Linked DNA regions of Drosophila melanogaster. The protein of the gene in region 4 interacts with the protein of the main gene of each other region in a pairwise test. Each region holds a gene or a part of one and is shown on either strand. Other genes may lie near its edges.

Region 1 (8,538 bases), on a different chromosome or scaffold from region 4:
GAACGAGCGTGAGCGAGAGAGCAGCATCGTGCGAGAGAGAGAGCAAAAATCCTTGTGCTGGCACTTTTCTTTACAAATTTTCTTAATATATCCTTTTGTTGTTGCTTTCTTCTTGTTGTTGTTGGTGGCAGGCCAATGCAACAGGTAAAATAGAGAAAATATGGAAAAAAAACAGAACCAAAACAGAAACACCGAAAACGAAACAGGCAAAAGGGCAAACACAAAAACAAAAAAAATAAAGAAAACAAAACACAAACTTTGTCAGCACTTGAAAAAAAAATCGTTTTCGTTTCTAATTTTCTCTTTGTTGAACGCGCGCCATTTTTCTTCTTGCCTTTCTTCGAGAAGGTTTTTTCTTAAATAGACTCTTTTGTAATTATTTAAATTAAATTGCTGTTGTTTTTTTTTTTATTTTGCTGGCGAGAGCCGCGGTTTTCGAACTGCGACGGCGCGCCTTTGGAAACCAACTGAAAAAAAAAACACAGCAATCAGAGAGCGAGAGAGGATGAGAGAAAGAGCGAGAGAGAGAGCGGCGACGTCAGCGCGAGACACGTATGTCGTTTAAGTCTTTCGTTTTGGTCGTTCTTGTTCTTGCTGCTGCTGCGTTGGCGCAAGCGAGAGAGAGAGAGAGAGGGAGAGAGAGCTGAATTTCAGGTGTGGCAACCGGCAAAATCACAAAAAAAATCTTATTTTATCCAAGTACACAAGAGACAGAGCGAACGATGGAACGACACGGGGCGAAACATCATTATGACCTGTCCAGAACTTAATGAGAACAGAGTTTTACATATGAAGACTACTTGTTTCTGGTTTTTGCATATTGGTTTTCGGCCTATATATATATATGTAGCTTAGAGATATACTATGTATGCAAGGCAGAGCCTAAGAATATAACTCCATCAATCGGAATTGAAATAACTAATTAGAAGAATCAGAAAGCTAACAGAAGCACTTTTATCTATTCAAAACGAAAACGTAGTCATAATATCGTTGGAGTTTCATACCTTTTTACTACCAAATCGTTTGATTGTTAAATGGAACGCAATTTATTTTATTGTCTAATGTAAAAGATAAGTTATCAACAAATTACATTGATGGATAATCTTTGAAGTAACACGTGTCACAAGAAATGTGATTTAAAATATTAAAATAAAAATGAAATGAAATGACTTGAAACATTTAACATATATGCAGGTTCCTTTAATCACCCCACTACAGAAACTGGAAATTTTTGAATAATCCCAATAAAATTGATCTGTGAAAAGATCTCTTGTGGTTTGTAGATTCGTGGTAGATTTGTTATAGATTTGTAATAGTTTTAGGCGCATGGCATGGATCGGATTCTTGGCTCTGTTTCTTCTCTTCTTATCTCTCTCACTGGCTCTCTGTTGAAAATCGGGTCGCTGCTTAGTTATTCCGCACAGGTGTGAGTGTGTCTGTAGGTGTGTGCGTGATACCTGTTTGTCCGCACACACACACACACATACGTACACAAACAGAAGAAACAGTCATCATCATCGTCTAAGCCAAGTTGCCTCTTTTCACCTTTCCTTTGGCCATTCAATTCCGCTCTCGCTCTCCCTCTCGTCCCCTCTCTTTCGCGCCCGCCTTCATCGGGCGGGAGTGGGAGGGAGAGGGCTAATGTCGCAAGTAGCCGAGATTCGATTCTTCTTCTACGCTGCCTTTTGAGCTCGCTTCCTAATCCATTAACATTTCTCTATCCCTCTCTCCCTTTCTCCTACTCTCTTTCTCGCTCTGTCTCTTTAGCCCTGTCTTCTTCCTCTTCTTCGCCTTCTATGGGCTCGGATAATTCTTCTTCTATCTTCACCATTAAATGATGACGACGCACTCGCAAGAGAAGAAAAACCCAATAAAAAAAAAAAATAATAAATAAGTCCGACTTCAAAGACTTTTATTAAAATTCAATCAATCAATCGCAAAAATGACAGTTCGATCTTCGCAATGATGAATGGATGGTTTTGAATCTAAAATCTTTGCCTTATCACCCACACTCTCATAATTATTTATCTATTTAAATATGCCATCGTTCAAAAATTTCCATAAATATACATTTTATTATTCCGTTTTTAAATTTTTTTTATTTTACAAAAGTACGTACGTATATACGATTCTGTATTATCGTATTACCCTATATAAAATAGTCACATAAATACCTATATTTATGATTCATGATTTAAAAGTGAATTAAAACACGTTTTAGCAAAATGAAATCATCTTCAAGCAAGATCATACCGTGATTTTGTATACTTCTGAAGAAGAGATCTGATTAAAACGTCAGTGATAAAAGGGCTTATTCTAGACGCCGAAAACCCATCAAAATTGATGACCAATGTTGGTGACAGATAATTTCTTTGTGCGACGTTGGCCATATAAATAATGTGTGTATTTTTTATTTATTTACTTTTTTTTTGCCACGCTCAACGATCAGCAGCGACAACAATTTAGAAAATTAGTTGCACACTCAACGAAACTCGTTCCATTGGCTTTCTAACCGGCAATGAGGCAAGCAGATCAGCGGTACAGTTGGCGGGGCGGCTAAGGGGGCTTAATTTTTGTAAGCGGCCGGGGGGGGGGGGGTGTGTTGGTGTTTCGATGGGGGCTTACAAGGGGGTGGCGAGTGGGCCAACTCTCCCATTACATCTGCATATGTGGCATGCAATTGGATCTGCCTGGCATATTCCAGATTGCCATTCAATTCGATTTGTGTTGTGTGGAGTAAGCGAAAAGCGAAGGAAAAAACCGAGAGCCGACATGGTGAATTCTCGAGCGGGGTAACCAGTTAAAAATGGGAGCTAGAGCTGGCCTCCAGTTACTGGCGGGGGGGGCGATAACTGGCGTGGAATATCTTCGAAATTGCTCGATGTCTCGTATTCATATGCATTAACAACCGCTGCTTGCTAGAACTTGCGAATCTCTCAAGTTCCAGAAACCAACAATTTCATAGATATTATCACACCAGCTGGTTAACTTTTTTAACTGTTCCTATGTTAAATTACTAATCTATGTCAATTTGAAACCGTATTTGGGTATATTTAATATGCTGAACTGAAGACACTTCGTGAAATCTTTGAAAACTATTGTTTACTCTCAAGTTTACAGTTTTCAATGAAGTTATTATGCGTGTTTGAACTTGAACTATCATGCTGTCACTTCCGATTTCGTCAATTGTTTTCGTTACCAATTCATTTTTTTTTTTTTTTTTCGTTGGCAACACCTCTGGCCAATTTGCTCGCCTGGACTTTTCCAAGCCAGTCAAATTTGCACTCGAAGTGGAAAACTTTCGACTGTGAGTGTTTCGGTCGGTTGTTGTGGCAAATATATAAATTTGTGAAATTGTCAGTGCCACAAGCAGAGATGATTTACCGCCCCGGGGGCTATGCCAGCGACTCATTTATCAAGCAAAAAATAAAGAAACCCGAAAATGAAGAGAGTTCTAAGTTGCGACTGGGAAACTTTCACCGGGTGTCGTTTCAACGCGGTGCGGCAATAAAAGGGGGGAGGGGGGACCACATTTTTTTTTGCAACTCTCGCACTTGAGAATCTCGGCCGGGGAATGGGGGGAAATGCTAGCAAATCATATTTTTGGTGAGGGCGGGATTGGCGGTTGGGGGTGTGGGATTTAGTTGGTCTCAAAGTCTCTGGGCTTTATCCTGGCCAAGCCGAGTCATAAACAAATACGGTTTGCTGCTGTTTTGTTTACATTCGCAGTGTTTGGTGCCCACCGACCGACGTCTTTTGGCCAGGGGTCTTTTGGTCTCTTGGCCAGACTGGTTTTTCTCCGGCCAAAAAAGGAAGTTGCTCGTAAAGTGGCGAAAGCCGCCAACTGACTGACCCAACAACAAAGTGTGCAAAATAAAAATTGCAAGAAGAAAAATCGTTAAATAAAATAATAAAAGCGCTTTCTTTCTGTCTGCCCCTTTTGTTTTTTCTTTGTGTGTGTGTTGTGTGTTTGTTTTCTTTCTATAAATTTTTGCGGTCTGCGTTTCTTCGATTCAACTATTTTCCATATTTTTCTATTTGATATTTTGGCAATTTTGGCGATTTTCACTGATTGGTTTTTAATTTTTGCATTTTTCGGTTTCTGTTGGTGGCACAGCAAAAAAAAAAAAAAGGGAAGAAGATCGAAATATTTACCGCCGCACTCACTCGAAAAAAAAACTCGTAACACTCAATTGGAATTTAATCGGCAGGTTGGCCTTTCTTTCTTTCTTTCTATCTTTCAGTTTACTGTTGTTGTCGGCTCCGATATTCTTGTCACTCTGTTCTGGCTGCCCACACGCTGGACGTATCTGTTGTGGGCCTGGGATTCGGGTTCGGATCAGAGTCACTATCGCACTGTCACTACAGTTGGTTACTTATTAGCCGCGCTGGCTGACCGTTCACGACGACGCTCCGCGAGCGACTGACCAGCGGATGCTAGCGCAGCCCACTCGCCGCCCAACCAAAACCGAAGGCATCGAACCTTCGAACCATCGAACCATCGAACATGTTGCGTTGCAGCCGCTACTCACAGGCAGTGCGACTTCAAACAGAGGCGCCGCTTTCGAGAGCGAAAGAATTGCATTGGTATGCTCATGACTGCCCAAGGAGCTTGCTTCATCATCAAACCAATTCATTATTATTATTTAGTTCTTATTATTGAGATTATTGTACATACTTAATAGCAAGTAATAGTTCTACTAAAATGCTAGCTTCATTTTATTTGAGAACTCCGCAGCTTCGGAGTGCACATTTCTTTGTTCTCTGCTCTGCGTTTAAGTTCTAATACTATTTAGTTACGCTGCAATTCCTAATAGCCCCCATCTACACCTCTGATGCAACATCGATTCCATGGCAAGGCTATGTTCGAGCGTGCAACATGCAGCATGTTGTGTTTTCATTCGAACAATTGTTGCTGCCACAGTGCGTGTTGGTGGTTCTAATTGACAGTTTTCCAGAACAACTTGTTGAGCTTATTGTTGTCTTAATGGGGTGCTTATCTACACCTGCCACCCCCCCCCCTCCCAGACTTTTGCTTGCCTCGCGGATTATTGGAGGACAATTCCACCCCCCCCCCCCCCCACGTCACACTCTTACACTCTCTCTATCTCACTCTCTGTCCGGGTAAATTGACGATTTGAATATTTACATAAACGATTCTGATTACAATTGAATTTATTATTTAGAGCAGCTACTTAAGCCGCTAAGTCGTTGGGTACATAGGACATACATACATACATACATACATGCATATGTGTATTCATTTGTCGGCTGTCGCTTGACAAATGATACCTTTTCATGGAACTTTTATTTGTTTATTTTGCTTTCTGGAAGGCACAATCTGCGGCACGCCGAGAATATTGAGTAAACACACAATTGCTGCTTGCCACGTGCAACGTGCTCGATGCTGGCAGCGAACGCGGTTCGAGTTGCAAGCCCCTTCAACAGGTTGCCAGGTTGCTCTACGAAAATAATGTAAGCTCCTTTACAAGTCCGTACGAAAATTAATTCAATACTCGGCTAAAAATAAACGCACTTGTTCTCAAGTACAAGCTTACACTCACACACATATGAAACGGAACCTAAGTAAATCCCATTGTTTTGGTTTTAGAACTGAGCAGGAGAATTTTGAAGAAGTTCTTCAATATTTACTCCCAAGAATTCGAGTGTATCCAAACTATTCGAATAGGGCCTTCTTCCGCGAAAAAAATCGCTTTAATTGCAGAGCAAGTCAGTCACCAGCCAAATGAACAGCTGTTTCGGCTCCTAAAAACTTTTGCCTGACCGCCTGCTGGCCGTTCCGCATTCTTGGAAGCGGAATTGAACAATTTGAGATTTTCGAAGGGGAAAAGCTGTTTCGCCTATCAGGTGGCCAAGTAGAAAGATATATACATTTCCAATCCAGTGCTGCGGAGACATCACCGAACGCTCTACGAGCTATAGGAAAATTCTCTATTGCGTCTTAATGGATTCACAAAACATTCTCGTTTAGACATATTTCGCAGTGAAAGGTGATAGGGCCAAGAAAAACAATTGGCCGAAACCGAAATGCGAAGTAAACTTTTCATGCACAAAAACCAAAGCGTGCAATTCTTATATTTATATTTACCCAGAGATTCTCGCGCGTTTTATGACGAGGGTCATTTGGGGAAAGCGTGACCCGGCCGAAAATAAACAAAATAAATTTATTAACCATCTCCAAAGTTTAAACAGCCGTAGAGCATGTTCTCGAGTGGGGGGCAGTGCGCCAAGGTTGCACACTTGATCGCAATTCAAATAAATGACTGGCTTACACAAATTATATGCGAACTTATTAACTTAAGCCAATACATCAAAATATGTTTAAATATTATATCAAAAATAATAAAGTTTTTATTTCAAGAAATTCCCCACCAACCATAACATTTCCTAAGTTATTTATTGAATAATCAGAAACCACGTAGATATTAACTATACGTACTAATCGTGTTGTTAATCTCGAAATTGGTTTAACTATTGTTCCGGATATGTAACTGGATGCAACGGATATGATATAAGGTAAATTATTTGGGTGAGCCCAAGTGCATGTGAGTAATTGGAAAAGTTTGACACGTTAACACGACACAAGTTGGTTAACTGATGTTATATTTTTTCAACAAGCTATTTTCCACGTAACCCAGGGGAAAAATAACCTTTGCTTAGCAAAAAAAACGGAAATCCGTTTAAAAATAAAGCTTAAACGACCACAGCTTTTAGCCAGCATTTCACTCTGGTTTATTGGTTTAAGCCAAAATAAACCTATAATATCGACTTTTAACAGCTTCAAAAAGCTAACACTTTTAAGCTTTAAGCTTTTGCAGAAAGCAGTGTTACTGTGACTTGGGAAAGTGACCGTTAAAAGCTTTTCTATTTCCTTCAACAACTTCTGTTAAGCCAAAAGAGCTTTTCCGAAAAATGTTACACCAATGTTAATGTAAGGAAATCGTTTTCTTTATTTAATCATTGTATTCTTAAGTCTACTGTAAGTAATCGTTTTAATTAGTAATTTTAATTTCTGTTGTGGATTCCATTCCGCGTCTCCTGCGTTTTTGCTTTCTTACTTTTCTTTTCTTTTTTTTTGTTACTTTTGCTTTAGTTTAGTAATAATATTCATTATAAGATACGAGTAATCTCAAACACAATAGAGACAGTTACAGAGCGACACACACATTTTAATTATATTATTATTGCTAAGACACAAGAAATAACGATTTTGAAATAAATGCTAACAAAAAAAAAATTAGAAAGAGTGCCAGCCCGGTTTTTTTTTTCAAACCGTGCCTTTCCAAAATTTCTTCTTTTGTGGTTTGCTTATTTTGAATATAAGGATTGTGGTTCACGATTATTTATTTGGCGGGTACAATAGATTTACAAATGGAGTTTTATGAGATTCTGGAAAACCTTTTGCTAAATACAATAATTTCCCTCGAATTTCTGCAATGGCTGACACAACTTTTCTTACATTTATCTCCGATTTTTGGCAAACATAATGGCGAACTACGAGTACGACTAGTATTTTTTATTCATTTTCATCTCAGCTTCACCTACAAATTATATGTATAGAATATAATCTGCAATATATAGGTATATCTGTATATATTTCATTAAGTATATTTAATATTTAAAACTCTTTGTAACATTTAATAAAGTTAAACATTGATTGCTCTTGCGTTGTGACAATAAGTTACTATATAATCATATAATCAATCTGTCATTATGTATACATATAGCTCATTTCTATAAATATATCTTTTACATCCTTGCATTCTCATCATCATTTTTGCCATCATCATCCAAATTCTCCATCATCTCGTGTTGATTATCCTTGACTATGTTTAATAATAAAAAAATTCTCTAGTTTTGTTTTACACACATCTTTTGTATTTTTCCTTCGTCGTCCAGCGACATTTTGCTCAGGTCAAATTAGAGGAAAGGGAAATTTTTAGTTACGGGTCTCTTTAATTCTCCACCCATTTCATATTGAAAATTGGGGCATTTTCCTTCATTTTCCTGGAGTGCTAAGAAGACGCAAACTCGTTTCCGGTTCGAATAGAGGAACACAGAGAGTAAATTAAATATTCGAGTATTTTGTTATGTACATTCTAAATATATTTATGACGAGGACATATATCCTATGTTTATGTGTACACTCTATGAGAAACAACAACATCGAGACTTATATAAAAGAAAACTTCAACGACTTGAGAGTGCGGCGATCTCTTCAATTCATATTTCCATTTTTAATCAAGGGTGCAAAAATAATACCCAAATCTTTTGTAAATATAAACCTAAATTAATTACATTTTTCCTATAATTTTATAGAGAAGAAAATAAAACAAATTGTGCAATATTAGCAAATTTAAAAAACCAATTATATGTGCACTAAAAAAAAGAAGGAACAAGTACTGTTTGCAAAATATGAATGAATACTTTCAGATGATTTTTAAACGAGACAGTTTTTCCAAATATTCGATTTCATCGAATTGCACTACGTTACATGCCACACACACACAAAAGCCG
Region 2 (8,974 bases), about 17 Mb from region 4:
GCTGCGGCCAATGGCCAGCGAGTGTGTCTAAAAATAGGCACAGTGCTATTTCATAAGAGCTAATTTTAAACCAGCACTGGTATATAAATATGTGAGACTTATTAATAGACCGCAAATTACAATTGTCTATTTACCCAACGACTGATTGGGCTGATGAGCTGATGGGCTGAACGGCTGATGAGATGATTGCTTATTAAGTGGCGCCCCGCCAGCCACGTTTCACATGGCGACGCTGGTGGGAGAACAATGGAGATCCGTCGCGCCGTCGTCGGAATTAATATGCATCTCTGCATGGAGATTAGCATCGACACCCGCCCCCTTTAGTTGGCTCTGGGCTAGACCTGTGGCTATCTATAGCTACGATTATAGTCGCGGCATCTGAGATGATCTTGTAAATTGCAGGACGGCACCGCGCGACGGCTGCTGCGTGCATGGGATCTTCATGGAGGGCGCCAGGTGGGACATACAGCAGGGTATCATCATGGAGTCGCGCCTCAAGGAGCTCTACCCATCCATGCCGGTGATCAACATTCGGGTGAGTTGGAAATGCAAATCGGGCAAATGCTAAAATCCGCAAATCGGCGAATCGAGGGCGGATCTGTGGCGTCTCATTGCTGGCGCATGTTGGCATAAATTCGAAAACTAGATTCCACTCCATTATTCTACTACACTGAATGCGAATCCGATTCAATTTAACCTCGTCTATGTACCGCAGGCAATCACCCAAGATAAGCAAGATCTGAGGAACATGTACGAGTGCCCGGTCTACAAGACCCGCACCCGAGGCCCCACCACCTATGTGTCCAACTTGAATCTGAAGACCAAAGACAAGCCAGGCAAATGGATCCTGGCCGGCGTAGCGCTGCTCTTGCAAACCTAAATGGCTAACTGCTTAATGCTTAACTTAACTTAGTTATCTAACTTAATTTAGTTCAAACGATTTCGTAGTTCTTTTCTAGTTCACAACGTAGAACAATAATAGTCATAAGCTAGACCAATGTACCAAGTTTTATCGTAGACTCCAAGTTTGACTTTCGATTTATTTATTAGAGTGCACCGTTTTCATAATAAAACACCTCCTAAGTAGACTTGCCTTAGGCGCACTAGCATAAAACCTAAAAGAAATACCGAACTTATTTTGACTGGAATGGGGATTCATTGTGGTATATTGATACTCGTAATGCAGATAGGTAAAACAGAACTTTATTGTTTTTGCCTTGACTTAATTTGTTTACCATGCAATTGTTTACATTCGGTAGGTAATACCCCGTGGAAACCACCATACCACCAATTGATAATGTTTTTTCGTGGCGAATGCGACTTAACGCTGCCTGCGTAGTCGGCAGCTGATAAGTCTGAAAATTCCAAAAATCTTAATGGAAATGCTAAATCCAATGCGTCGCGTATCCATAAATAACAAGCGTAATATACATACGTATCTGTATCTGGGGGGAAGCAGCATCAAAGAAAATTCATAGACACTGCTGAGTGGAGTGAACTCGTGGCCATCGCAAACTGAAACAAATAATTTTCATATTTTTTGCCCTGCTTTCTTTTTTTTTTTTCTTTTATATTTTTATTTCGTCTTATTTGTACTGCGACAACCTGACTCTCCCGCTCTATAGAGCTCTCAGATTGCGATAAGCGTGTGCCGAGTCTGTTCGGAAATGCTGACGAAATTTTGAACGATTTTCGAAGCATCGCGAGCATCTCAGTATTGAGCGGTACGTGAACCAATTGACAGCGGTCAGCGATGAGGAGCAAACTTTTTAGTGACTGCATAAATACATGAATAATTCAAACTCAAAAAACCCAGCAGCAACAACAAGCTGGTCCACGACAACGTGACCTGCCTGTAGAGTTATCGATCAAACGACCGGCCCGACCGATCCATCGATCCACCGTTCTACCGATCTACCCATCCGATTTCGGAGCCCTGCCCCGCTTCATCTGGTGTATTCCGGCCCAACTAACAGCAGCCGCATCCATCCATCCCAATACCAAATACAAAATACAAAATACAAAATACCCAATAACCAATACCCAATACCAGAGGAAAAAACACAATAAAACAATCTGAAATCAGAAATCAACTACAGGCGAAATGTGCGGAGAAACAAAAAGAAAATTAAAGACGACGACACGAGCGTAAATCTTTTTAGCATGAAAAAATTCTATAAAACTAACAGGCACTGTGTGGTCGGACATCATTCGTGCGCTACGACGGCAGACGACAGCCGCAGATACAGATACAGATACGGATACCGAGATACAGATTCAGATACCAAATACCGAGATACAGATAGCCGGTCGGACGGACAGGGCCTGATTGATTGATTGCCGAACCCGGCCCCATCTCCTGCCCAAAAAATCCAAAATCAAAGCCCAAAACCAAACCCAAACCAGACTCAAAATCTGTCTGCATCAAAGTATCTGCAACAGCAACAGCACAGTCATCCCAGCATCCAACCAACATCTAACAGCGGTCAGCATCCGAGCATCCCAGCATACCAATACCAATCCGATACGAATCCCAGTCCCAGCGGACATCGTCCAGCCGCCAAGCCATCAATCAGTCAACCGAGTCACCGCGTCAGTTAGTCAATCGAATCGACTAGCCAGCCCACTCGACTTTTGCTTTTGCTGGCTGGAGGATATCTTCGGTCGGCGCTTTAGTTTCAGTTCGCATTTGGACGCGTGCTGTGCGGCCTCGCCGATAGAGAGATTCGGATCGGAACGGAATCGGAATTCTGAATTCTCAGTACTCAGCTCTCAGTACTCAGTGTTAAGTTCTCAGTTCTCAGTTCTCAGTACTCAGTACTCAGTTCTTAATTCTCAATTCTCAGTTACGAGCTCTACATTCTGAATCAGAATTAGAATTAGAATCAGAAACGAAAAAGAATCGTGCGCGAATTAATCTACAACGTATCGAGAACCAAAACACTGCCGCACACACGTGTCTGAAGTTCAGTGACAAGCCCCAAATCAGGCGTCTATATTCCATTGAATATATATAAATCGTGAAATCGTAAAACAATTTTAATCAGCTAGAAACCAAGCGCAGGCACGGCATAATTAATTCGTCTGACCCGCAAAGTTCTTGCAAAGTAAATACGATTGTGCAAAGTGTTGGCCATCGCATCGATAAAGTGAAAACTACTCCTACAGCCAATCCGAAAACTAAACCAACTAGTAACAACATGAAGCTCTCAGCAGTATTGTTGGCCAGTAAGTACATATATAGTTTAAACTAATTGGTTAGAAAGATCACATGAAACACCGAAATTCACGTTGCTCACTGAATCATATTTCGCGACGTGAGATGAAAGAAAAGCAGGATTTATGTGGAATTTTCTGTCATTAAAAGATAATTATTTTCCCTGGGGGTTCATTTCTGTTTAATTTGAAGAAATTCCAAAGATTTTTATGTTAAATAAACATATTTACGACCCTTTCTAAGAAAATTTGGTAAGCTTTAGATTTAATTTTTATGTGTGCCAAAAATGCGAGGTCAAACTAGTGTATATACAATTCATTTGGCACAGGGTTTAACATTTAAAGCATTCTTATCAATAAAAAATAAATAAATCAATTTCAATTGCATAACTGAGCGACTCTCCTTGAAAACATTTAAATCGCATTCATTAATTCTTCAAAGTACTATATTAGGGGTTTTCCCGAAAATATATTAAATTGTATACAATTCAATAGTTTTTCATTTATTAACTTAACTCATATTTATCAGCATAAATAAATGTATCTTCATAACGCTTCCGAGTCTTGCAAATGACCCACAAAGTGGAGACCCTAAACTGCTAAATCGGGTGAAAGGACACTAAAACTAACATAGCTTACATAAAGAAAATGATTTCGGAATACAATGAAGGGTATTTTGCACAGGCCCAATGAACTTCATTCATATGCAATCGCAAACCTATGAATGGAAAATTTCATACTTCGATTGAGTCATTGGGTTAGACACCCCAGCAACGCAGTTGGGTAGTGGGGACTTGGTTTTGTTGCGTGCCAGCATGGCTAATTGGGTATGCAGCGCTAATTCCAGGGTACGTCAATCGCCCCTCCTCCCATAGGAAAGTCAGGCACTCCGATTCGTTGGCATTGCCAGACGCTCTGGCGTCGCGGAGAATCGATGGGCGGATATGGGCGATGTGGTGGGGATGTGATTGTGGGTGATATCATGGGCGATGGGCTGATCAGGGCACTTTGTATGCGGGTTGCCCGGTTGGCGGGCAGTGGTTCTTTCGCACGCCTCCTGCCTAACTAATTGGGTCTGATGCCTCCATCTATTTATAGTCGCGCTGCTTGCCCTCTCGCTGGTCCAGTGCCTCGGTCTGCCCGATCCCAGCACCAAGTGCGTCATGGAGTGCGACACGCAGGAGTACCGATCCATTTGCGCTGCGGACGACAAGGGCTCCACCAAGACCTATCGCAATCTGTGCGTGATGAAGACGGAAAATTGTCTCCAGAATGCAAGTAAGTGCAAGGGAATTAACCCACATTACTACCATACATTTTTTTTTATTTTATCCACAACTGATTATTAATTAAAATCCCTTTCCGTGCTCTTCCTTAGACTTTCAAAAAATCAGCGACAAGGAGTGTCCGTAGAGCTATGGATCCATTGATCTGTAGTCCAGCGGAAATAACTTAATCATGGAGGGGAGCGAGTTGACGCGGTTTGGCATTCCGGAGGACTCATCTTTCCCCCGTGGTATTTGTGTGTGATATTTTTAAGTTGTACTTCAGCGGAATACAGAAAACACGCCCCGAACGTAATGCATAATGATAATGTATTCTAAAATTATTAATAATAAATATTAAATAAAGTAATCGTAACACGCAAAGCCCACCTCGGTTCCTTGACCATCACAATGTTGACAAGACGTAATATGAGATGATGTCATTTCCGTTTCACCCCAGCGAACAGCCAATCCGTCGTCTAAACATCTTCTAATCTGTGCCCTGTATTTCTCGGATTGGAATTAAGTCATCAGACCGATTTAGAAAATCGGATCTTGATTGTCGGCACACACAAACGCAGCTACTTTACCGGCATTTACAAAATTCTTCGAGGAGACATATTTCGATGCAATAGTTCAGTACAGAAAAGGGAATTTTGAGTTTGTTTTCTCATTTAATTGTTGAAAGCAGTAAAGTTGTCTAACAAGATTTCTTTGGGGCTTTGCGCCGTTTAACAGTAATTATAGTTTGAACAAAGCATTTGATCGCAAGTAGACATTGAGATTTAAAATTGGTAACCCTATATACATACATATATTTCGGTGGGTCAAGTCTGAAACTAGCTCATTTCCAAATAAACAATAAACTGACTTTAGGCATGAGGAATCCGTTTTATGTTTTAGCAGTATTTTATCTCCTTAAAAGCTGAACTGAAAATTCTCATATATTGCAATTCACAAAGGACACTGTTTAGAACAGTGACTACGTTTGCAGATAAATGAATTATCAAAAACTTTACAAGTTTATTCATTTGAATATTTTAGATATGTGACATAGAATTGTCTTCTACGAATCTAAGAAACCTCCTATGATTGCCTAGTAGACCTTTTATGTTTCTTTGGAAATGTGACCATTAAGTTTCCGGAATAGGAACTTAGTTATATCCCTCAAATTGACCCATCCAAGTAATACATTAATCGAATTAATACATTAAAACTGCTGGAGCCGCAGCTCAACTTGTAGAGCAATACAGGCCCGTCGTTCCTCCTTTAGTTCCATGCCCAGCATATTCTTCTTGTGCTCCAGCAGCGCATTCTCCCGTGTATAGTGCTCGATTATCCGCTCATAGTCGGATTCTGGGGGAGCCTGAGATCCCGAGGCCAAGGAGGCCATTTGACTGTTTATTGACTGCTGCTCGTACAGCTGCTTGAGCCTATAGACTTCGTTGCGCTCGGCGACGATACGTGCTTTTAGTTCGTTCTGCCATTCCATTAGCTCGTCATATTCAATTTGGAGCCGCAGCAAATTTTCGCGGTGCGGATTTGATTTGGGGAGCAAAATAAAGCCAGTGCTGGGATCAATAGTAAAATCGTTAGGAGCATCTTTCGGAGTTAGTGTATCGGTTTTTGGCTCTTCCTGGGAAATACTGTTGTTCGTAGATACGGCTGGAGTTCCAGCTGGTTTGGAGTCAGTGGTATCTTCACTGGCTACAGCGGGCGGAGCACTGCTGCTGTTGTCTACTTCCTCCGCAGTCTTTTCCTGTTTCTTCTCAAAAGTTCGTAGTTTCCGCTTCAGCTGGGTAATGATGCGCTGCACTTCCCACAGCTGTTCCTCGCGTTTCTTGGTAATGAACCCGGCGTTCATCTCGCTGTGGATCTGGGACAGGAGGCTGTCCTGCTTGCGCAACTCCGTCTGGATGTCCTCCGGCGTATCCGGAAGCTTTGGGCTGGTCGATGTTAAAGGGGGCACATACCTAAGAGATGACAATTTAGTATTATGATAACTTTGTTTAAATGTGTGCCATTCTGCCTGATTAGAAAACTGGCGAAACGTGGAAAGCGCTTCTGTTTACGGGGTAATGTGCTCATCGTCGGTTGCAAAATAAACGACTAAATCTGGCGATTTTTATAGCAGCAATCTTATCAACTGCCAACAGTGGTGGGAATTATCTGGGTTCTTATAAGTACCTATTATACATATAAAAAAACAATTTATATCATTAGATAAATATGGAAACTAACAGTTTACTAAAACTAACAGTTTAGTAGTTAACTTCAGAGCTATGACTTCGATTCGTTCTTGTGATTTAACTATAGTTGTTAAATGTGGACTTCTCTTTTACCAACACAAAGGTACTTGGATATTTCCCACCACTGTTATCCGGCTAGCCGGTGTTTGCTCACTTTATCAGCTGGACGTCCGCGAACAAGTTGTTGCAGTGGCAGAGTAGGGCCACCATTAGTCGGTGAGACATCTGGAGCGTCGGACTGAGCAGCATAGCCAGCGACTGAGCGTTGAGCTTATTGTGTCTTTCCTGCTGGATCACCGCGTCGAAGTGGAGCAGCACCCACGCCAAGAGGGTGCGATTGCACTTGGGCAATTGTTCAAGCAGCTGCTGCAGCTCTGCCTGCTGCGTGGTTACCTTCGGATGAGAGGCTACCTCCTCAAAGCGGGCCACCAGATCGGTGGTCAGCAGTGGCTCCGGCAGTTCGCGCAGGAAGAGCTTCAGCAGACTGCAGGCGGTAGGCAGGTTGAGCTCATCAACGGCGGAGTCGTGCTCCCGGTTGTTGTACAACCGCTTGAAGTGCATCAGACGCGTCTTGATGGGCTCAATCTTGTAGATCTGCTCACACTTCAGGTGATCCTGCAGGAAGTCGATGCAGTCGCGCACAACCAGGGGAATGTCCACGCCGTCGTGGCAGCGGGATCGTTCGGTCGCCAAGCTAACGGACACCCCAAAGACGGGATACCCAAGTGCCAGCACTTCCTCCGCGGCGGAGACGTCGTCCTGCTGCTGCGACAGCTGCTTGCTCTTCTTATCCTTTTTGTCCTTCTTGTCAGCCTTCTTGTCCTTTTCCTTGCGCTTCTCCTCCTTGTCCTTCTTCTTGGGCTCATCACGGTCCTTCTCCTTATCCCGCTCTTTCTCCTTGACCTTGTGGGAGACGGAAGGCTCCTCCTCTGCGTGCTTCGAGTCTTTTTCAGACTTGTCCCGCGACTTTTCCCGCTTCTCCTTGCTCTTGGAGCTGGTGAACTTAAAGGTCTTTGACTTTTTCGACTTGGATGGACTTCTGGAAGTAAAAGAAAAAATATTACTTGTCTCTGGGTCAGCTGACCTGCACCCACTTGGTGTCCAGCTCCTCCTCCGGCGAGCTCTCGCCCTCCAGAGCGGCGTATCCTCGATCCTTGCCCTTTTCCTTCTTGTCCTTGCGCCGGCCAATCAACAAGTCCTTCTTGCTATGGTCGTGATCCTCACTAACTGTAAAGGCAAGGTGAGCCCATTGATTTTTTCCCAGCTTACGCCCACATCTTTGCGCTCCACTCACAGTCGCTCTCCTCCTTGCTCTTCCTCGACTTAGCGTCCGCCGCCTCGGAGGCGTACAGCCCGGGAAACTCCTTCTCCTCGGGACTGTCAAAATCCATCACGAATAATCACTTCACCAGCAGTAAATAAATATAAACAATTGCCGTAAACAACATATGCAACAAATAATCGATTGCTTAATCGAAGTCGCCGCTGCTATCCAACACTGATAAGTGCACAGATGGCGCTACTGTGTCATGTAAAAAATATGTAGTAACGGTGTAGATATTTAAAAAAAGGCAAATTGAAACAAGAGAAAACGCTACAGTCGAGTTCCTCAACTATCAGAAATGCGATCAGCTACTAACTCTTAAATTTTTATAATATTAATATATATATATATATATATATATAATAAATAAATAAATAAATATGTGTTAATATATAATATAATAATAATAATATTTTAAATAATTTAAATTCTAAGAAAATATTTTTTATATATATACATAAACTACATAATACATAAAACTTCCAAAATGACAAGAGTACCACCTCTGTAACTACAGGATTTTGTTAATTGTGCGCGCTAGTGTGGGCGTGGTGAAAATGTTTTTTCACAAGTATACAAATTGCCAAGACTATTTATAAAATAAAACTAAATCAAACCATTTTTTCAGGGTGGGGCTGTAAAACTATAAGGCGGTTTGTTAACTTCTAAACTCCCAGAAACCGAAACCAGAATACAGCGATGAAAAAAAACTATTCGTTTATTAGTTTAAGTAATATTCATATATATATATGTATATATATAAAAATTAATAAGTTTGCGATACAATGTTCTTAATTGGTACGGAAACGCTTCCTTATACCTTTTGCATTCTTTTTACTTTACGAGTAGGCGGTTGTGTAGCAAATAAGTTAATCAGTATAATTATTTCACGACCAATCAATCCCGCGGTGCATCGCTTA
Region 3 (7,009 bases), on a different chromosome or scaffold from region 4:
GCTACATGGCAACCAACCAGAGGGTGCCAAAGGTTCGTACACCCATCCATCATTTTCTGATTTCACATATAACTAATTCGGCGTATGTGTTTATATTTGCAGTTTGTGCATTCGCCGCTGCCCACGTACAGCGTCCCGGGCCGATCGTGCGTCGTCAATGGCCATAATTTCCATTTGCGCATTTAAATGTGGGCTGGCCAACTAGCCGCAGCCCCCAGCACCTTCCTGCAGCTCCTAGTCCCGCTGCTCTGCATCTGCAATTCATTTGATTTAATGTTTAATTGCCGCGACAATCGCTGCCAATGACATATGGGAGCAGAAGGCGCCTGAGGAGCTGGGACAGCATTATGTGTATATGCTTCATTCTCTCGGCGAAATATTAAGATAATTAAGCAAATATTTTTATTGTAAAAATCTCGTAGATCGTAATGTTTGCAGTACTAGTAGTAGCAATGAAATAGGATTTCGAATATATTGTATCCCTCGTCGAACCGGGTGCGCTAGATAAATCAGCCGGCGGCATGCGAGTCTGTTCGGAATATCATATTCGAGGGGGCATATGTTTGTATCCGTTTGTATATTTAGACTTGCGCTGCCTTGTGTGCGCATCTGTGTGTTTATGTCCAAGTGTTTACGGCCATCAATGTACAGAACTTAACCCATTAATATTAGCTAAGCAGAAGCCACAGCATGCACACACAATATCAAGGTCTCCACTATCGCGAGTTGTCCTCAACATGAAAATTGTGAAAATGCTTTTACTTTTTAGCGTAAATCGATTTGTACATATGTACATACACATACGCATATGACGCGAGATTTTCTAAACGAAACATTCATACGTATTCATTTCTCCGTTTATGGGGTTCCAGCTAATAATCCTATGGTATTTCATGGCATATAGAATGCTAGACATCTCGAGGCTTTTTCAAACTGCATGCGCACCAGCAAAAAGTGAGTTCCATTAGATGATGATTAATACTGCCTAAGATCATGATCTTCATGTTAGTCATGTTTAAAGCCAGTTATATCCCAAGAACGATTTAACACCAATGACGAATTTCAAATGTATCGTATTTATTATTTCGGACCTATTAAATGCCTATCAAAGATTGTTTACAAATATATATCGCTTTATTATTTTAGAAGGTTTGTAAAAACCATATTATTGCTTTAATTAGAAAACTGGCGGAAAATCGTTTGCTTAAGGAGTAGGAGTAGTCGTAGAAGTTGTTGAGGTAGACTGTGTGGATGATTCCGTAGAAGAAGACTGCGTGGTGGAAGCAGTCGTGGAAGAAGACTCGGTGGAGGATTCCGTAGATGAAGAAGCCGACGAGGACGCAGTCGTTGGTGTAGATTCCGTTGATGAGGAAGCTGTGGATGAAGCAGTCGTTGATGAAGACTCGGAGGAGGACTCAGTTGAAGAAGCAGTCGATGAAGAATCAGAGGGCGACTGAGTCGTTGTATCCGAGCAGCTGGTCGGCCTGGTTGTCACACATGAGCTGGTGGTTGAATCAAAGAACGGCGTGGAGGCGCCGCAAGTCATATAGAGGGCAACCCAGGTGGTTCCAGATTTCTGGCAGTACAGGTAGCTGTTGCACGTGGAGTCATCGGTTATTCTGGTAAAGAAGTAACTAGGATTGGTACTAGGCTCGCCAGCATTGCACAAATCCTCTTTCTGCGCAGCACTAGGAGTTGTCGTTGGAGCCACTGTAGTTGTTGTGGTTGGCTGATAAATACTGTTGCTACAGGTGGCATCCAATCCAAGCTATAAGGTATAACATGTTAGTATGAATAATTTTTAAAGTCCAACAAAACCTACAAATTCGGAGGCACAAGACGGTACACAGACGGTTTGATACGTCGACAGAGCATCTATGATACAAATCTCATCTGTGCCGCAATTGTACACACTGCTGGTCAGCACATCGCCGGCGGAGGAGCAGCGGGCATACTGGGTGCTGCTGACACAGGCGTATTTGGCGCCTGAGGAACACACTTCGCACTGAGCTCCATTTCCGCCAGAGCCTCCACACACGTCCAATATGGTCGAATTTACCTCGGAGATCAGAGCACAAACGCTATCAGAATTGGAGCAAACGGTGCCCGAAGGACATTCGATAATATCTCCAACTGGACCATTTTCTGAGGTAAGAAATAGAATGTTTACATGAAAGGACTTTAGGTATTAAAGGACTACGGTCCAGGACTTACTCATGCAATTCTGATAGCTGTTCTGATCAACGCAGTACACATCGTTTTGCTCCAGACAAGTCTGACATGACTGAGCTGCCACGAACGATAGTCCACACGCCATGATGGCCACCAAAGCGATTATCCTCTGCATGTTCCTGCCAAAGTTTTTACACCTTTTCGGTAGTGCTGCTCAACCTGAACGATTTACTGATATGATCCCAACCACCCATCTGCCGTCTTATATAGCGGAGGAGCTCACTATGCATTAACCTTCAATTGTTTATGGGTTGATAATATTGTTTGTCAGATTTCGTTGTCTATGCCTGCCAAAAGTCTATCATCATAAAGTAATATTGAAGCGATCTAAATGACAGCAACATGCTTTTTAATTTTACGTACTTCATACCGGGAAATGCGGTTCATAAAGTGTAATCGTACATATGTATATGGTATTTTTGAAGGTCTATTGACATTTCTGTTACCGTTTGAGTCATGTCTTTTCGAAATACATTCTTTCTTTATAAAATCTGAAGTTTAAACTTTTATTTCTATTTTTTGTAACTTGCTTTATTTTTCAATACACAGCGCACACATATGTTAGTAGCAGTTATTATAAACGAACAAAACATGTTTTCCAAATCCCATAATATTTTATATATATTTAAAAGTAGTGGTATGCAAGTATGTTTTGCAAATTATTTGATAAGTCGATTTAGGAGCATCCCGTTGGTTTCGTCGATACGCAAAGGCTGGTCGTAGAATCGAAATATGGCTTGGGTTGGTGGCAGGACAAATAAACAGTGTCCCATTCGGTGGATTCAGTTCTTTCGCAGTAGAGATAAGTGTGGCAGGAAGTATCCTCCTTGTAGATCGTAAAGAAGTACAAGGTTTCCTTAGGTATTTGAAGATCTTTTTCAGCTTCAGTACAGGCACTATTTTTCTGCTCTGTACTGGGTGTGACAGTTGTCGGTGCTGCGGTAGTTGTTGTCGTGTATTCACTGTTGCTGCAAGTGGCTCTCACGTCGAGCTGCAAAAAACAAAACAAAAAAAAAAAAGGACTAGAACACAACATAATTAAGTTACCCAGGAATACCTACAAAATCGAGGACACAAGAAGGCGTACATATGTTGTCGTACTTTTCCAGTGCTTCCGAACTGCAAATCTCATCAGTATCGCAGTCATAGATGTTTGAGTCGACCACAACCGATTCGGAACATCTCGCAAATTGATTTTTGCTAACACAAGTATATTTCTGATTTGTGCATGTTGCACATTGGTTTCCACCGGAGGTTCCACAGACATCGACTTCAGATTCTGCTAGATCAGAGCTTTTCACACAAACATTTTTCGAGTTTGTGCAAACCGTATCGTCGGGGCAGCTTATCACGTTGCCAAAAGGCTTGCTTTCTAAATGAAATCTTTTCAGAACTAAGTACTGCCGGAACTTAATTTTAAACTTACTGATGCAATTCCTATAGGAAGTTTGGTCTACACAATACACATCGTTATCCTCTAGGCACTCCTGGCACTCTAATGCCTTCACAATAGCTAGACCACAAAAAACTATGGCCAAAATCAGGAGAGTTCGCTTCATTTTCCAAAGGATTTCCAGTAGATTCCCTGGTAAAAACTCAAAATAGTTTGACGTTTTCGTTCAATGCACTTCCAGTCTTATATAGCTAGGAAATGCAACTTTTAGTGACGTTTTTATGGCAAATCTGATAGTATTGTTTGTCAGATTTGGTTACACCTGTAAATTTACATCAATAAAGTAATATTAAAAGCTTTTCGACGCTGAAAAGGGCGGACTTGTAAGTAACAATACATTTCACACATTTGCTAACTTAAATCATGAATCATGAATGATAACATAAACACGATCTTCAGATTTGTGGATTATTATTTACAAGACGAAGAATAACAAACAAAAAACAACAAGTACCAAATAAATTTCTCATGTGAACCTTAAGGTTGATCTTATCAACAAATAAATAAAAAACACGAAATGCAGACTATAAAAGATATACGTTGAGTAAAAGATATCACCTTCACAAGAATTGGCAGCATGTTATCAACGCGAAAATAAGTAAAACTCCGAGAAACACCTTAGTGCCCATTCATCCATGGAAAGTCGAAAGGAAAACAACGTGGATTTGCTTGCGATCACATTTATTAAGTTTCGTATTTGAATCAAATTTTCATAAATATTTTCTCACACAATTTTACATATTACACAATTCACGTTCTTATGGTTGTTTATGCTTGATTATCGTTTCCATTTACGAGTAACACAAAATCTCTTAGGCGAATTTAATAAATAACAGAAATATGCATATGCGTATGATCATTTGTTTCGTTATAAGCGAAAGTAAAATATAGTACGATGTAAATGTATATAATACGTTTCGAAGTGAAGGAGAGAACTAAAAGTGTCTGCTTATCTTAACGTACTCAAATAACAATATAATAGAAATAATTGGGCATACGCAGTGATGAACCCATCCCGATCTATAGGATAGCGCCATGGAGCTTTTGCGAAATTGTCTCCTCAGTTGAAGGGTATACTATATATGTAGCTACTATAGCTTTTGATGGTATCACCGATGCCTTTATCTGTGCAGCACTAAAAACAATTACAATTGGATGATAATGATTACACTTAGTAAGTTGACGCGTGGGCTGGTTTCGACACATCTCCGGAGTCTCATGAACTGGCGGTCTGGATCCTCGATGATATTACACATTGACATGTTGAACTTATGATTCTGTTGCTTTAAATATATATGTATTATGTAATGTGTATATATAATTTATATATGAAAAAATATATATATATATATTCATGTATTTATATGTATCATGTAGTTAAACTAATCTGTAATGTAACTAGGGCTCATTTGATGATTATGTTCTCAGTTTGTATGTAAAGGTTTTCGCTTTCCATTTCATTTCTTTTGATCTTCTGATCGTTATACACGTTGCGTATGCTTATGTAAATATAGTTAAGCTTGATTTGTGTAAGTTTATTATTTATAATTTGCTCTATTTTGTATATAAAATTTGACCAAATACATAAGATTTCTTTATATAAAACGAACAAAACAATTCTCAACGATATTTGAAACATGGTTTCACCTAATGCTTAACGGCCTAACACAAATAATAAACAAATTTTGAAATTTTCACGCGAATATCCGGCTTTCGCTTGCATCGGCTTGCTGGCTTTAACATTCATTTTCATTCTTTTTCAGCCTTCTTCCAGCTGGTAACTAAAGTAAAATTGTTGCTTCTCGATGATATAGGTTCTCAGACATACATACACTGAAAGTAAAACATAATTTCATTTACTTAATTTGCTAATTACTCTAATCAACGCGGCGTTCTCCTCCTTCAGGCGATGATTATCCGATTTGTAGGCATCGAGTTGCTGTTGAACGGATGAGATGAAATTCAAATTAGTACAGTTTATAGAGATATCCCAATGGGTAGACGTTTATGGCGGGAGAGGCACAAGTCTTTGAGTTAGATGTGCATGTTGCATGCTTCGTTAATCTATTAGGGATGCGGTAGCCGCAGCCACAGCAGCAACAACAACAGAAACAACAAGAAACAATTAGTAATTACTTAAAAATGGAACTCAGCTGGACGCCCTAATCTCGAGAATAAAACCAGATAGCATGCACTTAACCACAAAACTACACTCGAAACATAGGCGCTTAGATAATTGTCTCTGCGAAATCTGATTCGTGTGATCTTTATGACGAGTGTTTGTGTGCTGTGATAAGCGAGCTATAGACGAAATCGGAATCGATCATATAATGTCTAATGAATCTCATGAATTTGGATGCCTGATGCGAGTGTTCCATAGATATACACCCACCCAATGTGGCGTATTCAAACAATAAACCGCAGTAATCGAATAAGATCGACAGTGAGAAAAATGTTGTTTATTTCATATAGATATATGTATATATATATATATATATAACTCAAAATCGGTCGATGCTCTTTGTGGTTGAAAACACACGGGGGGGTAAACAAAATGGCAGATAAAACTGGTAACAATAGTAACAACAAGAGGTATAAATCCATAGTATAGTTTAATAGACATTATTTAAAGAGTAGAGTATTAAGTAAGTATTGTTTATATGTACATTCAGAGTGTTTCAAAATGTAGGTGGATTGAAAGCAACTTCATAACTTATCCACTTTTTAAAACAATGGTTTAATTCTCTACCTTCTATCCAAATGAAACAAATATATCAATTTTGAAAAGTTTGTCATTTCCAACCATTCTCCATCAGTTTGAAACACTCCATGTTACAGTTATAGCTAAATATATTTTATTATATTCTTCATATGTAGTATGTGTATAAAAACAAAACAACAGCCAGCTCATAATATTGGGGGCGCAGGTTCATAGAATGGCTCAATTGAGTGTCAGTGGTGGGGCATTTACCGTTAAGCATCCAGCATCACCAACTAGACCACTTCGCTCTCCCCGATGATCGACTGTGGGAGACCCTATATGAAGACTCCAGATCCTTGGCCCGCTAATCGCCGATGCTGTTTTTTTTTCTTCTCTTTTTTTTTTTTGGTGGTGGGGACTTGATGTTTGATCTCGTTGGTTTCGATGAGCTTTATTTTGATTTGAGAGTGGGCTAACTTTTGATTTACAAATACTTATCAACCGTACAGTGGTCTGTAGTAACCATATAATATGATTTCAAATTAGAAACAATTGCACCTAGCGATTTTCGTAGATTACCAAAAACGAACAAGGCGTGTGATTAATATTTTACTATTAAAAAA
Region 4 (8,600 bases):
CATCTCCACAGGTCCACAGGAAATTACAAATTAATTATTCAACGACTGTGGTACCTTTGACTTAATAGTAAGTGAATTATGATTGTATATCGCCACTTAAAACGGTATATTTTGGATATCTAAAATCACAAAGTACACAAGATGCTAAACGCACCAACAATTCGGACTACCAGAAGAAAAAAATAAAATTTTGTTGACTCTTTCACCATAATTTTGATGAAAGAACGGTGAATGTTTAAAGACAAATTTAATTAATTTGAACTGATTAATAAGCTGGGGAGGGCAATACTTCCCACAATAATATTTGGAAAGTTGTACTACATTTTTTTTACTACATTTTTGCCTCTCCGAAACAAAACGTATTTTTATGTGCTGAGCAAGCAGTTTCATGTAGAAACTTTAGTCATTCCACTTAGTAAAAATTAAAAATTTCAAAGGAACTAGATAGATAAATATCCTTCACATATAGCATTTCGAAATTCTATTTTTTCAATAGTTTTGGTCAAAAGATTTTTAATCAACAATACATTTTTTATACTTCTTTAAGACACGCATTGACTCGTTGCAAATTTTTCTACTGTAGCGCATATGGTTTCAAAATTGAAGTGTACTGATGCTCTACAAAAGGTATTGTATTTTTTAAAAATAATTAAATATATAAAATATATACAAATAAAATAACTGCTGACGTTCACACGCTGAACATAAAATCTGATTCTTCTGTGAAGATTTTACCAGTCGACATTATTTAATTAAACAAATAATCTTTAGAAAGGGTAAATTTTGTATAATATACTTTCATTGTCAAATGAAAAATCTTTTTTTTTTGACAATTACTTTCTGCGTAACATTCGTTTAGCAATTTTTCGTAGGTTAAGGGTGGACTATATTTGTATTTATATATTTAGAACGTCGAAGGGATTTCTTCGGTATGCCAAAAACTTTTCAAAACTGAATCATCAAGAATTTTGTGAATGTATTTGAAATCGTTTTATATTATCATTTGTCTTGCTTATTTCTATCTGATAGGCGATTAGCTCCCTTATTATTTTTTTCTGTTCTCGTTAAATTTACCAGCTATATATAAAACCTAATCAAAAATATGGGGTTAAAGGGAGAAATGAAGAAAATCGTAACTATAAGTTAGCTGCCTTATAAGCGGTTGGCTGGAGCCAGAAACAGTGCTATCGGCATTAATTAATTGGGGGTTAAAGTCCTTCCATATTGTGATATTGTGCGGAGATAGATTGCGATATCTGTTTCGTTTTGCGAATTTTATAAGTATTTTCTTAGATACCTTAGATACCTGGGTTTTGTTGTTTTGTTTTCTGTTTGTTTTGTATATCGTAATATTGTATTTGCGAAGGTGTTATTATCTTCCGTCCTCGTTGTTAAAAAATAAATATTAATTTATTTAAATGACGAAATTTCGAAAATCGCGGCGATGCTTTTTGAATTGTGTGAGTGCTCGTCTTGAAAATATCGAGTCAGGCCACACAAGACACTTGGGATTCCGATCTCCTCGCAAGCAAATAAAGGCGGCGGCCCTCGATCACTGGCTTGGATCGCCAGAAGCGTGGTCGGATATATTGAAACGAAAGCGCAAGTGAATCGCGCGGACCGCTCCCACCTGACGACCTCAGGTCGGCTGGCCGATTAATGTGTGTGCACTTGTAATTTGTTTGGCTGCTCGGGAAGGTCAGACCCCACGGAAAACCGACCGAGCTGCTGAAACACACGATGAAAGTTTCCATCGCAGGGCCGCACTGCATTAATGGCATTTAAATACATCGATGTGTAATTATGCACATGCATAGTTCCCAAAGCATAGGTTACGGGTGTCAGGAATGGAGGTTTTGTTTATTGTTTTATTGCGACTCTGCCTCGGGCATTCTAAATTGAGGAGAAGCCGCTGAGATCGAGGGGTCGACTTACATAACACTGGCGTGGTAAGTTTTCCAAAAATACGTAAAACCCGACAAAAACAATGAAAGAAAAAACAAAAAACAAAAAACGCACAAAGAAAGGCTGGGGAAAATGAGAGAGAGACAACAGCAAGCGACAGAGAAAAACTGTCCGAATCTTTGGGTAAATGAAATTAATGTGCGAAATGTATACGAGTAGGTCCCGTCAATGTCGAAAAAAGAAACGGGAAAGAAAGCCGGCTTCGACTAGCCGAAGTTTGTGTACCCTTGCAGACGGTCAATGGGTATCTATCGGTAATATTGTAATATTAATGATGTTATTTGCTGGAAAGGTGAGTACATGGTACTTATAGCTTTTTACTTCTTTTTAAATAACATATATAGTTACATTTACCAAAAGATATCAAAGTGCTCTTTTATTTCGAAAATTCGTATGCATTGCATCTCTTCTACAATATTTTGTTTAACCATGCAGGATAAAGGCGATTTACCATTTTGAGGTAAATTCTTAGAGCACCATTACTCGTAAAGTATAGCCTAGTAGATTCGTTGGGAAGTATGTATGTAACACTTCTATCGATATGCCAAAATAATATTAAAGATTCTCGCTTAAACATCTACTAGCTGACTAACAGGCAAGGAACTCGACCATACAGTTCTCATTTGGTATTTAAATATAATTCATAAGATATCATTATTAGGCAAAGGCTGTATAAACTAATAACTGTAAAAATAATACTTTTAAAATTAAATACTGGCTGCATTGCCAGACATCACAGTCGCTAGTCAACTTTTCCCTTTGGAATTATAATCCTTATATTGGCGTATTATGATCATTATATATTTCAAGATATAGGTTATATCGACCGCTATATCAAATCTTTTGTTACTTAAGGGCTCTGGAGCCTAAGTATGCCAAAAGCATTTAATAAACTTTTATCATAGACTTGCCTCCTAACCGAACGATAGCTGGATTCGCATTACCATCATGAATTGGATCTGTCCATCTCACCGCCGATAACGGCACATTTGTCTTTATAGCACCGCAACAGGTGGTGAGGCTAGTTCTCTTGACTCTGACGATGCTGTCACTGTCCATCGAATGATTATGCCCACGATGTGTTAACCCCGAATGGTACGAAGATCGTGGCCAAGCATCTCAGTCTCAGACGAGAGTCTCAGGGGCCAGAGAACCCGTACGATGTCATTGTTCTTTTCTTTCTCCATAGGACAAACCGGTTAAAAAACTTTCCTCATAATAGCAGAGCCCAAAAGTGCTTATTAAGCATGCGCTGCCAAAACACATATTAGCGAGCACCTATGTACATATAAACCAGAGGACTAATACATGCGATCTCTATAACCAAGATCTCATGGACTTTGGCCGAATTTTTATGTTGGCCCGAATAATTTCAGATTGCTTGTGGGTGTGACTGATACAGCCAGCCGATTGTATAGCTCCTCTCTTCTGAGAAAATCGAAGCCCGGCAATGAGACACAATCTTGAGATTTGCCGTGTAAACGCGAATGAATATTTGGATTTGATGTGTTTTCTGAGCAATCTAAGCAGATAATGTGTTTACTGAGTCTAAGCCAGTCGCGCCAGCCAAATAACTATACGCGAGGGCCAAGGTGCAAAGCGATCAATTAGCACTTTAGCACTGCATTGTTGCAATCTATTTGCGAAAGCCCTTGACTCTACGTAGCTCCAGGTTCGCTTTTCTGACCACCGGCCAGCGGTAATTGATGCCGCACCACATTCTCCAGGTGATACATACATATGCATACATACATACATACATACACACATACACACATACATAAATTTCTGATCGAAGTATTTAGCGCACTCGTTGGCTGACCCTAAAAACCTGAAAAAATGCGAATGCAACTACATTTCTCGACGTTTCCGCATTCGGCGGACAGGTGAAACTTTTTGATTGACTGACATAGGCGGCACACCACTGCACTCCTTACCCAACAAAGGTACACAGTAGACAATGAAGACAGCGAAATGCGTTCGGCTATTTAATACTATTTAAAGTCAGTTCTCAGGATAAGGAATTAGCTGCTATACCTAAGCTGCTGCTAAAATACTTCTCATACGGAAGAAGTTGTACCACTAAAAAGAAGAAATATTCTATGTATTCGAAGTAGCATAGAAGTACCTACTGCTAATACCCGCATTCCTCAAATAATGAATTTTTTTATCTCGATTGGGAAACAATGGTCAACAATATAATTTCCATTGTTATCAACAAAATTTACTTAATATAAAATTGTATTGAATAAGTGATTCATGAATTACAGTTGTAGACCGAAAGGGTCAATTGTTTTTTACACTTCATAGAACCAGATTAATCCAATAAACAATATTTAATTCATTAAAGTACGAATAGGTTACCAGAGAATCTATGAAAACAAGTCTGGGCAATCCTTTGGAATAATAATTCATCCCTCTCACGAAGGGCACCCACGCCCCTGTGCGCTCTCTCTTAGCCACCGACACGTGTGAGCTCTTTTGCTCTTTTAGTTGGCTGTTGCTTCACGGCGACTCTCTTCGGCATCGCCTACTGACGCTGCCGCTGCGAATGGGCGTGGCGGGAAGCAGAGCAAGAAACAGTGGACTACCGCCACTTTTTTAATTAAACCATGAACAAACAGGCAATGGCGGTGATGACTAATATCACCGAATCGCAAGGCGAGGGTGGGGAGCAGCTGGAAAATGCTTTCGCGGCTGTGGCGATACTCACCTGCGAGGTATGGTGTGGAAGGGGGGGGGGGGGGTCGAGCGGCGATTGGAATGGAAGAGGAATCCCGAGTGCACACACACAAATGCACTTGTGCACGGCCACAAATACACACTCGCGAAGGAGAACGAACGCAAGTGTAAAGGGCCCGCGCTTTTGGGAATTGAACAATCGACTAGTTTCAGCTTGGGCTGGCTGCCGATGCTTTTGATACTGAAACTTCGATACCGCGGGCTGCGATGCCGATGGCTATGGCGATGGCTACAAACAACAGCAACGCCAACAAAAGACACACACAAACACCGCGTTGGATCTCACCGCACATAAAATATATCCGACAACATATCGTAACGGACTTCACCATGCAGAAAATGCGATCTAGCCCAATAAAACTATATGCGCTTCCAAAAAAATATATTAATATCGAATTACTTCTTAGTCAACTAGCCATATCTTTCGGATTTCTTGGGAAACGACGACGCGAGTGAAATCGTTCAGCAACAAAGAGAGCGCGTTTTGCCAGTCGCTTAAATATATTTTTGTACAAAACGGTCTCGCAACTTCGAACATGTTAGATTGGGTTGGCAGCAACTAAGCAGAATGTTGGCACGAGTGTTGCCGTTTTAGCATTTTTAAAGCTCGACTTAGGTTATTTGAAGCCCGCAAGGACTGTGATAGGGATTACAGATTAAATAATATTGTGCGTAAAATCTTTGTGATTTGATAACCTGCATAGAAGGTACCAAGGAAACAGAAAAATAATATGGATCGTCGCGACTATACCCGTATACCCTCAGCCAAATGAAATGCAAAAGCATAAATTGACTGCGAGGGGAATACTTTTCACAGGCCGTTAATATTCTTTGAACTTGTAGTTAACTTTAAATAAAGGTTTCTGTGGCAGGATTGTAATTTTTGGCATGTTTAATTCTACACTAAATTAACTATTTGATTTATTTGATTTCTTTACCAAATAATTTGAGCTAGACATAATCTAGTTCTGGCTGTTCCGTTTCTAGATAATCTAGATCTGGCTATGGAAAATCTAAAAAGGCTGAACTGAGACGAGGCAAAATGATCTTTGTGGATTCCGTTCCGGAAAGAGTGACCGAATTTCGAGAATTCGGTACTTATCGATATTATCGGAACCCATTATTTAGCATTGTCATCATAAAAACGATATTTAGAGAATGTAGAATGTTAAATGTTTTTTAATATTTCTTGTAATCAAAACAAGATCGAGTTCCCCTACTTTAAAAGTCCTGTTACTCAAGTCGTATACTAAGTGCGAATGAGAAATTCCAACATTCTTTTAGCAGATCGAAGGAAATTTAAAAAACAAAATAAACTATTTAAAAAATTTTTCAAAAGCGTGGGAGTTTTGGGCGGTTTGTTGGTGTTATAAGGGACGAAAAACAGACAAAAGTCAGAGGGTTCCTCGACTTTGCGAGCGAGATGTTGCAAAATGGTATATCTATAGAAATTCGCATTACTGCGAGCGAGATGTTGCAAAATGGTATATCTATAGAAATTCGCATTACAATCAAATTACTTTGTAATTGTGACAGTGAAAGTCTCGTGAAGTCTTGCGTGTTAGCGTCGTAGTTTGGGGCGGCTTGTTGGCCTGTTCAAGAATATTATATTTTATAGAGTCGGAAATGCTTCTTTTTACCTTTATCGAATTTAGTAAAACCTTTTACGGCAAAAAAAATAATTCTCATAAAAGTGCGCTAAATAATAAAAAATGAATAAACAACAACGGAAGCTTGAAATTGAAATTAAAGATTGTTCAAAATTAAAAAAATGTAGTAAAAAATGTATACCAAATTAAACGACCAAATTTTACATTCGATTGTTCATATGGCTATTTCGACTCGGTTGTTCATACTGATCAAGAAAGTATAAAGTGAGCTTTATATGGTCGCAAATGCCTCATTCACTGCGATGCAAACACCTTACTGAAGTCAATGTATCCTTTTGGAAATAAAATAGTTTACATATAATTTAATAAAAATATTAAATATTGCTGAGACCGCCATATTCACATTAATTTTATAAAATCGAATTTTTTGGTTTAATTTGACTAAACAGCAGTAATTAATGCTCGGGCTTTGTAACAATCAACAAATACACTGCTTTGAAAGGAACGCCACTTTCTCATTTAAATCCACTTTAACAATATATTTCATATGGATCCGGAGAACTTAGAGGTGGGACAAAATTATGAAGGTTCCCAGGAATTCGATGAGAGCAGCACCAGCTCAATTAGCAACAAGGGCCCGGATGACAGTCAATTCAAGCGTGAGGCTGAGAAAGCTATTTGCATCATGCCGCCCCGACCGGGAACGACTATGATGAACTATCAGGAGCTATATATTCCGCGGAATCAGCTTACTGATGTATATTACCCCATTCAGGAGGCCCAACGATGGCTCACTCTGATGGACAAGATGGGCAAGGCACACCGTTTTCCGCTGCCCACGATCCTGCCGAAAGTGATCCAGACCCGCTACGTGCCAAAGCGGCATCTTCCAAAGGACGTCGAAGTGGATCGGAGGCGTCGTCAGTACCAGAAGATTAACTTGGTGAATGAGCTGGCCAAGGCGGGCCTCACTGACGACGTGCTGCAGCCCACCGAGGAGCAGTATAATGTAATGTCCGAGTTCGCCTTCCCACACAAGTTTCCCCTGAGCTACTTCGACGACAGCAACTTTGACATCAACTCTCCGGCGGCCTGGTTTGAGCTGGGAGTTGTCGGAGATGCGCACTACCCGCTTCCGGCGAAGGCGTACCTGCCTTACAACCAAAGCCTGCTGAACTGCCAGTGGGGCATGGCAGCTGTTACCGCGCACCACGAGGACTCCGACCTCTGGACGCTTCTATCGCTGGAGGACGGATGCACCTACACGGTACCCAAGCTTCAGTTCATGTTCATGGCTGAGGACCCGCACAAGTACATCAAGCGGCTGCAGGCCGCTGTTCACGAGCGGCACAAGGGGGAGCAGCTTATGTTGATGGAGCTGATCGTGGATTGTGTCCTGCACGAGGACATTGAGTCCACCGTGTTTTATAGCTTTAAGCCCATCGAATCGGTCCTGCAGGCGGCTAAGGTGTCTGAGCAGTGCAAAAGACGACTACGCTCCGAGGTGAACTTGGTGTTCGAGCGCCTAATGGCCCTATACGAGCTGGAGCAGTTTATCCTTAAGATGCCCAAGGAATTTCCCCAGTTTCGGAACATCAACCTCAAGGAATTTCTGCCCCGGTCTTTCGCCGTGGACGTCTCCGGGAAGGAGCGTCTTGAACTGCAGGCCCTTGGCATAACCATGCAGGAGAAGCGGTACGACTACCTGAAGGCCAGTCTGTTTTATTGCGTCGGTGGCATCGAGGCCATGGCCGGAGTGGCCATCGAGTGCCAGTACATCGAAACACTTTCGATCTTCATCTGCAGCTTTAGCAAGCCCCTGGCGCTAGTGGACTTCCTGCAAGCGCAGGAGGCGCATAGCGACAACGTGGCCACGTTTCTTAAAGTCTATTGGCCGCAACAGCTGACAACGGTCATCACCGTGGTCCTCCGAGCCCTGGGAAAGGGCTGGCTGGACATCTCCCTCAACACCTGGACGGTCTATCTCATGTGCAAGATCTCGCGGTTTATACTGCAGGTCAAGTTCCGTATGCAAGAGTCAATGGAGGTGCTGCTCGAGACGTCGCTGATGAACTTCTCGCATTTCGTTTGCGACCCCTGCCTGCAATTCCTTGAACTGAAGTCCAACTACAAGTGGACCAATAACTACATCGACACCGAGTTCCCCTTTCAAAAACCTGTATTCGCCATGACCCTTGGCATCAGCGAGGATCGCAAGGTGTTTTACTCCACTGACCCGGATGAGTTCCAGCCGGGGCTGGTCGAGATCTTTAAGAAGTGCCT

The links.
Region 1: the proteins of CG31523 (region 4) and mgl interact in a two-hybrid assay, tested with the Drosophila melanogaster proteins (one large-scale study listed by BioGRID).
Region 2: the proteins of CG31523 (region 4) and peg interact in a two-hybrid assay, tested with the Drosophila melanogaster proteins (one large-scale study listed by BioGRID).
Region 3: the proteins of CG31523 (region 4) and CG33258 interact in a two-hybrid assay, tested with the Drosophila melanogaster proteins (one large-scale study listed by BioGRID).

The regions. Positions count from the first base shown.
Region 1 is NC_004354.4:9,495,719-9,504,256, forward strand, and holds the start of mgl (megalin), read right to left. Parts: upstream 4,412-8,538; 5' UTR 4,156-4,411; intron 472-4,155; exon of another isoform or gene 258-471; intron 182-257; exon of another isoform or gene 1-181.
Region 2 is NT_033777.3:21,016,925-21,025,898, reverse strand, and holds peg (pegasus), read left to right. Parts: upstream 1-1,735; 5' UTR 1,736-3,200; coding exon 3,201-3,228; intron 3,229-4,314; coding exon 4,315-4,494; intron 4,495-4,594; coding exon 4,595-4,629; 3' UTR 4,630-4,855; downstream 4,856-8,974. Other genes in the region: Dhc93AB (dynein heavy chain at 93AB), read left to right, coding at 403-535, 716-880; Rlip (Ral interacting protein), read right to left, coding at 5,692-6,454, 6,885-7,769, 7,825-7,957, 8,025-8,121. UniProt on the Drosophila melanogaster protein: Increases short-range diffusion of the wingless/wg protein, enhancing its signaling and expression of target genes required for wing margin morphogenesis. May act as a serine protease inhibitor since it possess the Kazal serine protease inhibitor signature.
Region 3 is NT_037436.4:16,079,374-16,086,382, reverse strand, and holds CG33258 (uncharacterized protein), read right to left. Parts: upstream 3,833-7,009; 5' UTR 3,792-3,832; coding exon 3,659-3,791; intron 3,605-3,658; coding exon 3,294-3,604; intron 3,224-3,293; coding exon 2,909-3,223; 3' UTR 2,745-2,908; downstream 1-2,744. Other genes in the region: Tasp1 (taspase 1), read left to right, coding at 1-32, 103-186; CG13075 (uncharacterized protein), read right to left, coding at 1,205-1,768, 1,823-2,145, 2,215-2,347; Mbs (myosin binding subunit), read right to left, coding at 5,538-5,624.
Region 4 is NT_033777.3:4,473,955-4,482,554, forward strand, and holds the start of CG31523 (uncharacterized protein), read right to left. Parts: upstream 5,254-8,600; 5' UTR 5,108-5,253; exon of another isoform or gene 4,679-5,107; intron 1,473-4,678; exon of another isoform or gene 1,298-1,472; intron 1-1,297. Other genes in the region: sac (sterile affecting ciliogenesis), read left to right, coding at 6,865-8,600.